3 linked regions of the Mus musculus genome follow. The protein of the gene in region 1 purifies or fractionates together with the protein of each later gene. This does not show direct contact. Links are inferred from orthologs where the notes say so. Each region holds a gene or a part of one and is shown on either strand. Other genes may lie near its edges.

Region 1 (4,075 bases):
TGCGCTCAACAAGTGAGCAAGCCCTTTCTCTGGCATCTTGATCTTCTCATTTAAAATTTCATGGCCAGTCAGTGGTGGTGCACGTCTTTTATCCCAGCACTTGGGAGGCAGAGGCAGGCAGATTTCTGAGTTCGAGGCCAGCCTGGTCTACAAAGTGAGTTCCAGGACAGCCAGGGCTACACAGAGAAACCCTGTCTCAAAAATAAATAAATAAATATTTCATGATTTTGGTGGCTTATGTCTGAAACCACAGCACTTGGGAAGCAGAGGCATGGTGGATTTCTGTGACTTCCAGGCCAGCTGGGGTTTGTAGTGATACCCTGTGTCAACATAATTTCAGCAAAGAGTCTAGTGAGATAACTCAATGGTAGGGACACTTGCTGCCAGTCATGACCTGCGTTTGATCCTCAAATCCTGTAAGTGATCTGACTGCTACAGGTGTGCCCCACCCCCCAATAAGTTAAGAAAAGCATATACCCAACAGGTTGTTGTGTTAATCACACACTGGGGAGGCTGAGGCAGGAGGCCTTCCGGGAGTTCAGAGACAGCTTGGGTCACATACATAATGAGCTTCAGGCTAGACTGAGCCAGAGTGAGGCAATAAATAAATAATGATAAAGTCTCAGTCCCCACTTTGATGTTCCCTATTGAGTATTTTTACATATTTGTGTGTTCCCATTACATTTCACTTAGAATTTTTGGCTTGTTTATTGACTATCGTCTATCCTCTACACGATAAGACACATTCTCAGCAAGGATTTTTGCCTGTTTTGCTCGTTAAAGCGTCCTCACTATGTGGATGAGTACCCAGCGCTTTTAGTATTTAAATGAAAGAGAGTTAGCTGAGAAATACACCTAGCGAGCTCTCTGTCAGAAAGGATCCAGTCCGTCTCCAGAATGATCTTCCTGTGAAGGATGTCAGTGACTATGATAGTTACTTAGGAGCTGGAAATAGGTTTAGTGGCAATACTAAAATATAACACTACAAATCCCGAAAAGCCTTGGGATGTCTGAGTCTTTGCTTCCCATAGTGCTCCTTGCGGCGCAGGCGCATTACCTCCGTCTTGAGCCTCGGAAGTTTGAATCACAACCCCCACCTCCGCCCCCCAGGTGCCTGGCTTGTCGTTGGTTTGTTTCCGGATACAGGGCCTCGGGAAGGTGGAGCCTAAGGCTGGGAGCCAATAGTACAGGCTGTCAATTGGCCAGCAAATGAAATTGACGTTTTCATCAACTAGTGGGAAAAAGCAGTTGCCAAAGGGTCCCGCCTACAGAAGGGGAAGAAGGGAAGTGGCCGCCAAGGCAGTCGCGGCTGGACAGTGCTCAGGCCCGAGGACCAGTGGTGCCCAGACTTACCTTTGACCTTTCCCTGCCCGCCTTCCGCCTAGCTTTTGAACCACACCTCCTCCAAGTTTTTCTGATCCAGCGCATTAGACCTGCACCCAAATCATGTTCCCGGTAAAGGTGAAAGTGGAGAAATCAGGTGAGGACTGGGGATCCAGGAGAGATATGTTAATAGTGAAAAAGCGGAGTACGCGACATCTCTCTGCAGCCCATATGACAGGATCCTCTAAAAAGGGTCCTTTTCTTTTTCTACCTCACTTTCCCCATTTCTGACAGTGGGCATGAGTCATCAATTGTGGAGTGTCCCTGAATCAATCCTCACTGGCTGTGCATTCCAATAACGCTAGGGTGTAGGGTGATAAATAGACAAGGTGGGAGGAGTGGCAGGGTGTAGGAAGGAAGCGGGCAGCAGAGCAGCTAGGGCGACTGCAGCCGTGAGGAAACGGAGGCAGAGAGATGGGAGGGGAGGAGGACAGATCTGTGGGTTCTGGGAAGGGACTTTCGACTTTTCCTTTGAGGGAAGTGGGTAGTCTAGGGAGGTTTTTGAAGAAGGAGTGAGTTGGTAAAGGTACACCCCAAAGTGCAAAAAAACAAACAAACAACAACAACAAAGCTTGAGTGGACATCCTCAGAGATGCAGTGAGTGGAGAGAGGGCTGTTCGTGTTGGCAGCTGCCTTTATTCCCAGGGCATGGAGAACAGAGACAAACGGATCTCTGAAGTCAAGGCCAGTTTGACCTACTTAGCAAACAACATGCCAACCCAAGGCTATATAGTGAAGAACTGGGGGTGGGAGGAGAGAAATATATATAGTGGAGGGAGCCTCACTACAACTATGCAGGTAGGACAAGGGTGGGTTTGGAAACGCCAGACTGAGTACAGACCCCATTTTCTGGAGTCAGGATTGAAGACTCCTTGAGGGTTCTGTGCTGGAGAAGATCAAAGCCACGTTGTGTTGTCTGTCTGTCTTTGTATTTTTTCTTTCTTTTGCTTATTGTTTGAGAGAGGATCTTTCATTGCTGAGGCTGACCTTGAAACTCTTGATCCTCCTACCTCAGCCTCCAGAGTGCTGGGATAGCAGACATATGCTATTATGCCCAGTAGGCTTGGCTTTCTTTTAGGAAGGTTCTTTTGTCTGCATTATAAAAGGAGGTGGATCAGAAAAGATGACAGAGGCTAGGCGCTGGGTGGGAGGAAAAGGCGAGGTAGGGAGGGGATATATTGACAGACTCCCACAAGCCAAGTGAGCTGAGACTGGGGCTGGGAAAGGAGTGCCCACAGCGAGTCAGGAGCCTGTGGGCCAGCTAGTCACGCCTCATGGGAGAATCCAGGGAGTGGAGTGGGTTTCGAGGAGACCTCAGTGGGAATACCCTAAGGGCTGTCCATGGAAGGTGTCCAGATCCTAGATTCCTGAGTAGGTGTTGGAGAGAAAGAGCAGTGGTAGCAGCTGTGCCCTTGGCCCCGCCTAAGGCTCTGTCACCCTGGTTCTGTCTTTAGTTGGTCTCTCCACTGAGTGGCACTAAAGCTGCTTTCCAAGTAACTGGACCAGACAGGACGTAGGATCGCCTCCCACGGCGAATGTGGGAGGCGCACACAGAGCTGATTCCTACCTTCTACCCTCAGAGATGGAGATGGCCAAAGCCCGGAACCAGCTGGATGCCGTTCTTCAGTGTCTGCTGGAGAAGAGTCACATGGACAGGTTGGAACCTGGTCCAGCCTGGGGAACCACAGGGTGGGAGCTGTTTGGACTGACTCTGATTGTTGGAGGGGGGATGTGGATGGGAGGCTGGAGGGGCTGCCTAGGGTGAAAAGTGCCCCATGGGATGTTTCATGGGAAGACTAATTAATAGCATCACACTCTGGGTCCTTGGTACCCTAAGCCAGTAGTGTTTTTTTTGTTCCCAGGGAACGCCTGGATGAAGAAGCTGGGAAAACCCCCTTGGATACGCACAACAAGTAAGGGACTTTGATGGGATTTAGACCTGAGAGTTTGGGTTAGGTAGCTTTTCTCTCTGCTGAGTCCTAACCATCTTGCATAGACAAAGATACCTGTTGTATAAGTGGCTAACACCTTAGAGGAGGGTATTGGTGGGATACAAGGCCCAAGGAGTACCAATAATCCCCAGGATGTTAATTTTTGTTTGTTTTTAGAGCTAGCGATAGAACCCCAGGGCTTTTGCCCATGCTAGGCAAATGCTCTGTTCCTGAACTACGTCACTTCCACCTTGGGGGGCAGCGTTGAGCAGCTGTTTATTAAAGCCTCCTGACACCATGTCTCTCCCTGCAGGGATTGTTCCATTGCTGCCACAGGCAAAAGGTAAGGTGGCTGGGACCCCAGCTCACTAAAAGGTTCCCAGTCCCCAGCTCCGGGCCTGACACTCACCTTAACCACACAGGCCATCTGCCCGCTTCCCCCACCAGCGGAGGAAGAAGAGGAGGGAGATGGACGATGGGCTCGCTGAGGGGGGTCCTCAGAGATCCAGTGAGTAGGCAGGGGACTGAGAGGGTGGGTGTGGAGCCAGGAACTACACACTTATCGCCTACCTTACCACCCCAGATACGTATGTGATCAAGCTATTTGACCGGAGTGTGGACTTGGCCCAGTTCAGTGAGAACACACCACTGTACCCCATCTGCCGCGCCTGGATGCGCAACAGCCCCACAGTGCGAGAGCGCGAGCGCTCACCCGGCTCACCGCTGCCTCCTCTGCCCGAGGATGGAGAGGTAGGATGAGT
Region 2 (3,500 bases), on another chromosome or scaffold:
AAGCGTTTGTGTCGTATTAGTGACCGGTGTTCTCTGTGGCCCAGTCAGAGGTGAGATGGGAGCCCTGCGCTCTCTCTGCTCAGGGACCCCCACTACAGACCATGTGACACATGGCCAGAGGACAAAGGGGACATTCTCAGCAGCTGCCAAACTGGGGTGGGGGTGCTCACCCAGCAGACCAAGGTGAGGAGTCAGACGTCTGGTTCTGTGACACAAAATGCGTGTTGGGAGTGTGTGGGCTTCCTACCACAATAGTGTTGGATGCTGCCGGTCTCTGAGGCGTGCCAATCACCTACAGTCAAAAGAGAATTCAGAACAATCAGACGTGTCTCCATCACAGTACCACCGCTTCCTTCTGCCTTGTCAGCCACAGTGAGAGAGCAACAGAGAAGCACGCTGCTCTGCTGTGGCACTACCCCACACAGCTCAGACACCCGTACATCTAAAAGAACATCAACGTCTCAAACAGGTAGGCAGGCTCAAGAAGACAGAGCAGGCCACAGTTAGGGGCTGGAAAGGACAAGGCAGGCCTCCCACAGCAAGAACACCGATAGTGACAAGGAGGCAACTTACTGATAGCTAGGATTAATCACAGGACAGTAACACATTGCTGGTTTATTTCCTCTTAATGAGCTAGGCAAGGATAAAACTGCCCCTATAAAGTATAAAAGTTACCAGAAGGGAAGGAAGAAAGAGAGAGAGAGAGAGAGAGAGAGAGAGAGAGAGGATGGAAGGAAGGAAGGACGGACAAAAGAAAGAAAGAAGACAGACAGACAGACTTCCAGAACTGTAACCCTAGGACAGACAACAGGTACCTCTTCCAGCTCCCAAGTGGGAGTGGTGCCTGACTGTCCTGCCGGGGACACCTTTTTCTACTGTCTATGAGGGACCTCAGGATCCAAACATCATCAGGACAAGAAAGGGACAGGCAACCCCATTGGGAGCACACAGCCAGCAGCTCACCTGACCAGAGGTGGTGGCTCTTGGGAATCAGGTAACCAGTTTTACCAGAGTTGATGTGGCGACCACTCTTATAGCAATGTTTTTGATGTCCTTTGGGAAGAGGTCTGCTGTTTTAGTTCCCTCAGTTAACACACAAACCTGTTATTCTGGAGACAGACAACTGTCCTATTCTGACAACCAATGTCTCAATGTCAAAAATCTTACTACACACATAACTCTAAGTCAAAAAGACCTCTGGTAAATCCCAAAGTACAGAGCACTTCAGTGATCAAATTCTTCTGGGGATATCCCCACAGGAACTGAATTGAGATACCTGGATCCAGTGAAGGTGTGGGTACACTTTGGGAGCACTAGGCCACACAAGACGGGAAGTGCATCTTGGCTTACTCTCTCAGGCGGGAACAGGGGATCCCTCCCCATCCCCAGACAGTAAGAGCTTTACGTCCCCCACCAGTACTGCCTGCCAGTCACGTTGACACATCCCACACCAGCATGAAGGCTGCGCAAAAGTTCTGGAGCTCACGGGAGACCTCAGTCTATTCCGCAGCACCAAAACAACCACCCCTGAGAAGATGCACAGCTGTGCTAGACTCAAGACTGGCCTGGGAGCACCTGCCAGCAGCCTGCGGCTGTGCGTGTGCAGGAGGGCACTGTGCCTGGCTTACCCACTGGCCGCACGGACGCTGCCAAATGACTGAATCTGAAGAAAGCTAACTTACTCCCAGATTCAACTCTTCCATACAGCACTTCTTGATATGCTGTGCCAAGGAGGGTCAGGTGGCCCCCTGACAGGCAGCCTCATTACTCACTGAGATCTACATCCATCAGGACACACAGAGACCCTGTGCACATCTGAGGGACAGTGCAGAGTGAGCTCCCCAACCCTCAGGTACACACATCTTCTCTGTGGATCTGACAATAGAAGGAAAACTATGCATATAGGAGCTATCTACCTTTGGCATCAAATGTCCCAGTCGCCGTCGCCATACATTTAGGCCCCACCTTCATGCACAGCATGATTGGCAAATGCTCAGCCCTGTGTACCCATGGCTGCCTATGCATGCTCCACCCTCCGTGTGCACACACAGATGGGAAAATGAAAAACAGACCAAGGAAATATCAGCAAGTGAGATGGGGAGAAGAGGAAAAGGCACATCCAGGAGGCCAGGTGCCCAGGCCTCAAGGAGACAGAGGAAAACCAGGTTGTAAAGTAGCAGCTCCATGCTGGCACGGCCAGATCCAAAGGCTGCAGACAAAGCCCTGGGGAGCACAGCCATGCTGGCCGGAAGTGGGTCCCATTCCATCTGCACCCTGACACTGGGAAAAGGGCCACATTCCCCTTGGTGTGCTCACATTCCACCATCACACATGTGAATACAGCATGCAGAAGCCCCCAGGGACACTGGCCTTTCAGATACCAAAGAGCTACTTCGGTTAGGGTTCTCTGGTTGCTACTCCTCAGGACAAGAGGAAGCCTGGTCACAAGCAGTCTTTCCTATGTCACTACTGCTGGGACTGAGACTGGTTCAAACCCAGTCTTCCAGACCCAAAGTTCCAGCAAGCCACATGACTGCTAACTGGCACATACTGAGGACTGACATCACTTAGAGCCCCCTTCTAGCTTTCAAGCCAATATGGGAGTCCTGTTGATGCGTCTTTGCCTTGCTATAGAACACACAGTCTCCCACACTCTAGACAAGCCTTCGGCCAACAAGCCACACCCAGTACCCAGACCACAAGGTCTTCCAAAACACTCTCCCCTCAAAACACCCTAAGGATTCATTTTGCACCTTAATTTCAGATAAAAGCTGTTCAGTATTATACACTGCGTGATTCTACTAGTTACATACAAAATAAAAAATTTAAACACAAAAGCAAACTACAAATTTAGAAAGGTTCAGGGAAGGTTAGGTAGGCTTTACCATGAAGCTACAGGCAGGGCCCAGAGTGCAAACCAGCAAGGCAGGCACCTCTGTGTTAACAGAGCCATCTCTGTGTCAAAGCTTCCAATACCTAGACACTCTTAATAGCCTCTGGTGAGCAAGTGCCAGGGACACAGCACCTGCCCCCATCACACTTCGCATGCACATAAGGTTTAACTATCACCTCCTATGTTAGAGCCAACCCAGCCATCTCCTCAAACAGTTTAGGGGTCACTTGGAACATGCCCGGCTGAGGATACAGCCTAGGAGTATGCCACATACCCTTAATCCTGGCACTCAGGAGGAGAAAGGAGGAAACGAATCTCCAGGAAGTCAAGACCAGCCTGTTCTACACAAAATGGTTTTCCAGCCAGCCAGTGGCACAGGACACCTCACCTCACAAATACCACCGCCATGAGGGACCTGACAGCCAGCTCCGTGGCTAAGAGCACTTGCTATGCTTGCCGAGGACCCAGGTTTACTTTTCAGTGCCCACGTGGCGACTCACAAGCACCTACAACTCCAGTTCCAGGAGAGATGATGCTGGCATACATGCAGTCCACATAGACAATGCAGCACAACACTCAAACATAGAAAGAAAACCCCCAATGCCCA
Region 3 (3,500 bases), on another chromosome or scaffold:
ACATACTGTATTTCTGAACTATACATCCACCTCTTATATAAAAACTTAAGAGTACTGTTTTCAGGCTCAATGTATAAGGAATATTTTGTACAAAATATTTTGTTATTCATATGTGTAGATTACTTACAAAACTATAAAAGGATAAGCAGCGTGCTACACATGGCTTTATTAAACTTCTGATAAATTATGTCAATATTTAAAAAATATTTAGATGTTTCATTTTGCTTTTATACTTTTGCATGCACAAGCGTAGATATCACGACTCAATAAGTGGCGTTTTCTTTATTGCAGGTAATTGAAGTATTTATTAGAGCAGAAGACGGTCTTTGCAGAGAAGTGGTCAAACACCTCAATCAGATTGAAGAACAAATTTTAGACCATTTGGCATGGAAAACCAAGTCCCCACTGTGGGACAGAATTAGAGATAATGAAAACAGAGTCCCTACTTGTGAAGAGGTTTGTGACAATATTTTAGCATCTTTCTGTAAGGGAAGCGCATCAATATTGTTTATAGCCCTCTTCTACAGAGAGTAGTTGGAGCTGGGGTCTGCCCTTTGGGGTGTAGGGCTTTGCAGTGTGGTAAGTGGTTTATTCCTGTATCAAAGAGAAGCCTGTAACTACCTCAAGGTCTCCATGACGGTAAAGATTGAGGCTGCTGTTCTGACCATCTGAATCATAAGGTACACTGGCTCGGACATAGTCTTCATATTGGTTTTGAATCTTTTAAGACTGAGAATTTTTGCTTTAGTAATTTTATTAAGAAATAATTAATTGGACAAAAATTGTTGCCTTTTGGTTTAAGATTATTACTGTCTCTTTCTTTTTCTTTTTATTCTTTTCCCTTCACTTCCCTTTCCTTCCCTTTTCCCACCCCTCCCCTTTTCCCTCCCCTCCCCTTTTCCCTCCCCTCCCCTTTTCCCTCCCCTCCCCTTCCCTTTTCTTTCCTCTCCGAGACAGGGTTTCTCTGGGTAACCCTGACTATCCTAAAACTCGCTCTGTAGACCAGGCTTGCCCTTGAACTCACAGAGACCCGCTTGCCTCTGCCTTCCAAGTGCTGGGATTACAGGTGTGCACTGCCTTACTGCCTTTCTAGTGAAATGCTTTTTGATTGTTAAGATTTTGTGCAAACGATTCTTTATAGGTCATGCCACCTCAAAACCTAGAGAGAACAGATGAAATTTACATCGCTGGCTCTCCCTTAACCCCGAGAAGGGTGGGTGAAGTTCGTGCTGATGCTGGAGGACTTGGAAGAAGTAAGTTTAAAATACAAAGACGAATATTTTGGAGTCTTGAATCTATATACTTAAATTCCATCTAAACTGTAAGTAAAATTAATAGGCTATGCAGAGCAAAGAGTATTCTGTGTCCTTTAGTGACATAGTGATCACTTAAAAAAATTTTTTTTTGTTTTTTTGTATGCAGGAGGGTTGGGACAGGATCTTGTGTAGCCCAGGCTGTGGCCTTGAATTTGCTATGTTACCAGTGGACTTCTGAGAGTCCATTTCCCAGTGCTGGATTCGAGGTGTATACCACCACACCTGACTTAAAAATGCTTTTAAGGAATGGTAAAAACATTAAAAATTATTCTGAGAGGTTTGGCTATATGGCCCAGGCTCCTCTTGAATTCTACATTGTCTTGCTCCCCACCCCCAACAAGGATTGCGGGAGTGCCAAGCTTATCTTTTTAGAACACTTTTCATTAACTTGACCTTTATTTGTAAGTGACTATCCATTTATAAACATACAAAAGGGCAGAAATGGGAAAAGCAAACTGCTAACTATACTTCCATTGCTGGCCATAGGATTCTCAGTGAATTCTCTCATTCTCTGAAGTGTGTCTTCCTTTTTATGGTTCTATTTTGTTATGTTTATTGGAGAAAGGAGTCTCACTGTGTTGCCCAGGCTAATCCATCCCTGGTCCTCCTGACTAATCTCTTGCATAGCTGGGAATCAGGTGTGGAGCGCCACAGCTGGATGTTGTTAAGGGTGGAGCTCTGAGACCCAGGTAGATAGAGATAAGCCAGTGAGGCTGGATGGCTCCAAGAGTGGAACATGTTCATCACTGGAGCTGTGCTGAGCTACTTAGTAATGTGACTTTGCTGCTGGCCCAAGGAACACAGAAAACCCGGCTTATGTTTTATAGCTCCTTAGATGACTGCCTAGGTGCGAAGTTCATATTCATGTGTGGGGTCTGTCTTCCTTGAGATTCTTTTCGTCCCCCCCCCCCCCGTTGTTGGAGATTGACACCAGGGCCTCCCAAATGTAAAGTACACATCTTTTAAACTATTTTCAAAGAATAGTTTATATACACATACATGCATACACACATACACACACACACATATATACACACACATACATATATACAATATATACATAAAATACATATAAACACATACACACACACACACACAGACACATATCTCCAAATCTATTAGAACATTGCTAACACTAGGTCCGTTTCATAATGTACTTGAAAGGCCTTAGCTATAAATGGATCAGTTTTAAAATCAGTTTACTCTAAGTCAGTGTCTACTCAGTAAATATGGATACAGGCCGTGGTGGCAGACTTCTGTAATCCCAACACTTGAAGGCTAAGGTAGGAGGATCTTAACTTTAAGGCCAGTCTGATTTTGCTTCATGAGACCCTATCTCAAAACAATAACAGAAAACCAAACTAACTCACCAGTTAAATGCTTTTTGAAATCTTCCTCATTTAAAAATTGATTTTAGATTTATGTGTATGATTGTTTAACCTGCATGTATATGTGTGTACCCTGTGTGTGCCTGGTGCCTGCAGAGGTCAGAAGGTGCTGGACCCTCTGTAAGGTGTTGGACCCTCTGTAAGGTGCTGAACCCCCTGTAAGGTGTTGGACCCTCTGTAAGGTATTGGACCCCCTGTAAGGTGTTGAACCCCCTGTAAGGTATTGGACCCTCTGTAAGGTGTTAGACCCTCTGTAAGGTGCTGGACCCCCTGTAAGGTGTTGGACCCTCTGTAAGGTATTGGACCCTCTGTAAGGTGTTGGACCCCCTGTAAGGTGTTGGACCCCCTGTAAGGTGTTGGACCCTCTGTAAGGTATTGGACCCCCTGTAAGGTGTTGGACCCCCTGTAAGTATTGGACCCTCTGTAAGGTGTTGGACCCTCTGTAAGGTGTTGGACTCTCTGTAAGGTGTTGGACCCCCTGGAAGGTGTTGAACCCCCTGTAAGGTGTTGGACCCTCTGTAAGGTGTTGGACCCTCTGTAAGGTGTTGGACCCCCTGTAAGGTGTTGGACCCCCTGTAAGGTGTTGGACCCCCTGTAAGGTGTTGGACCCTCTGTAAGGTATTGGACCCCCTGTAAGGTGTTGGACCCCCTGTAAGTATTGGACCCTCTGTAAGGTGTTGGACCCTCTGTAAGGTGTTGGACTCTCTGTAAGGTGTTGGACCCCCTGGAAGGTGTTGAACCCCCTGTAAGGTGTTGGACCCTCTGTAAGGTGTTGGACCCTCTGTAAGGTGTTGGA

The links.
Region 2: the proteins of Lin37 (region 1) and Tfdp1 purify together in Homo sapiens (co-immunoprecipitation; 3 studies listed by BioGRID and IntAct, with this or other methods). This does not show direct contact. The link is inferred for Mus musculus from reciprocal best matches to the Homo sapiens genes LIN37 and TFDP1.
Region 3: the proteins of Lin37 (region 1) and Rbl2 purify together in Homo sapiens (affinity purification with western blotting; 5 studies listed by BioGRID and IntAct, with this or other methods). This does not show direct contact. The link is inferred for Mus musculus from reciprocal best matches to the Homo sapiens genes LIN37 and RBL2.

What each region holds. Positions count from the first base shown.
Region 1 is NC_000073.6:30,556,847-30,560,921, reverse strand, and holds the start of Lin37 (protein lin-37 homolog), read left to right. Parts: upstream 1-1,275; 5' UTR 1,276-1,446; coding exon 1,447-1,480; intron 1,481-2,837; exon of another isoform or gene 2,838-2,963; coding exon 2,964-3,039; coding exon of another isoform or gene 3,040-3,072; intron 3,073-3,245; coding exon 3,246-3,296; intron 3,297-3,627; coding exon 3,628-3,657; intron 3,658-3,736; coding exon 3,737-3,822; intron 3,823-3,897; coding exon 3,898-4,064; intron 4,065-4,075.
Region 2 is NC_000074.6:13,366,251-13,369,750, reverse strand, and holds part of Tfdp1 (transcription factor Dp-1), read right to left. Parts: intron 293-3,500; coding exon 171-292; intron 1-170. UniProt on the Homo sapiens protein: Can stimulate E2F-dependent transcription.
Region 3 is NC_000074.6:91,101,057-91,104,556, forward strand, and holds part of Rbl2 (retinoblastoma-like protein 2), read left to right. Parts: intron 1-291; coding exon 292-456; intron 457-1,141; coding exon 1,142-1,253; intron 1,254-3,500. UniProt on the Homo sapiens protein: Key regulator of entry into cell division. Directly involved in heterochromatin formation by maintaining overall chromatin structure and, in particular, that of constitutive heterochromatin by stabilizing histone methylation.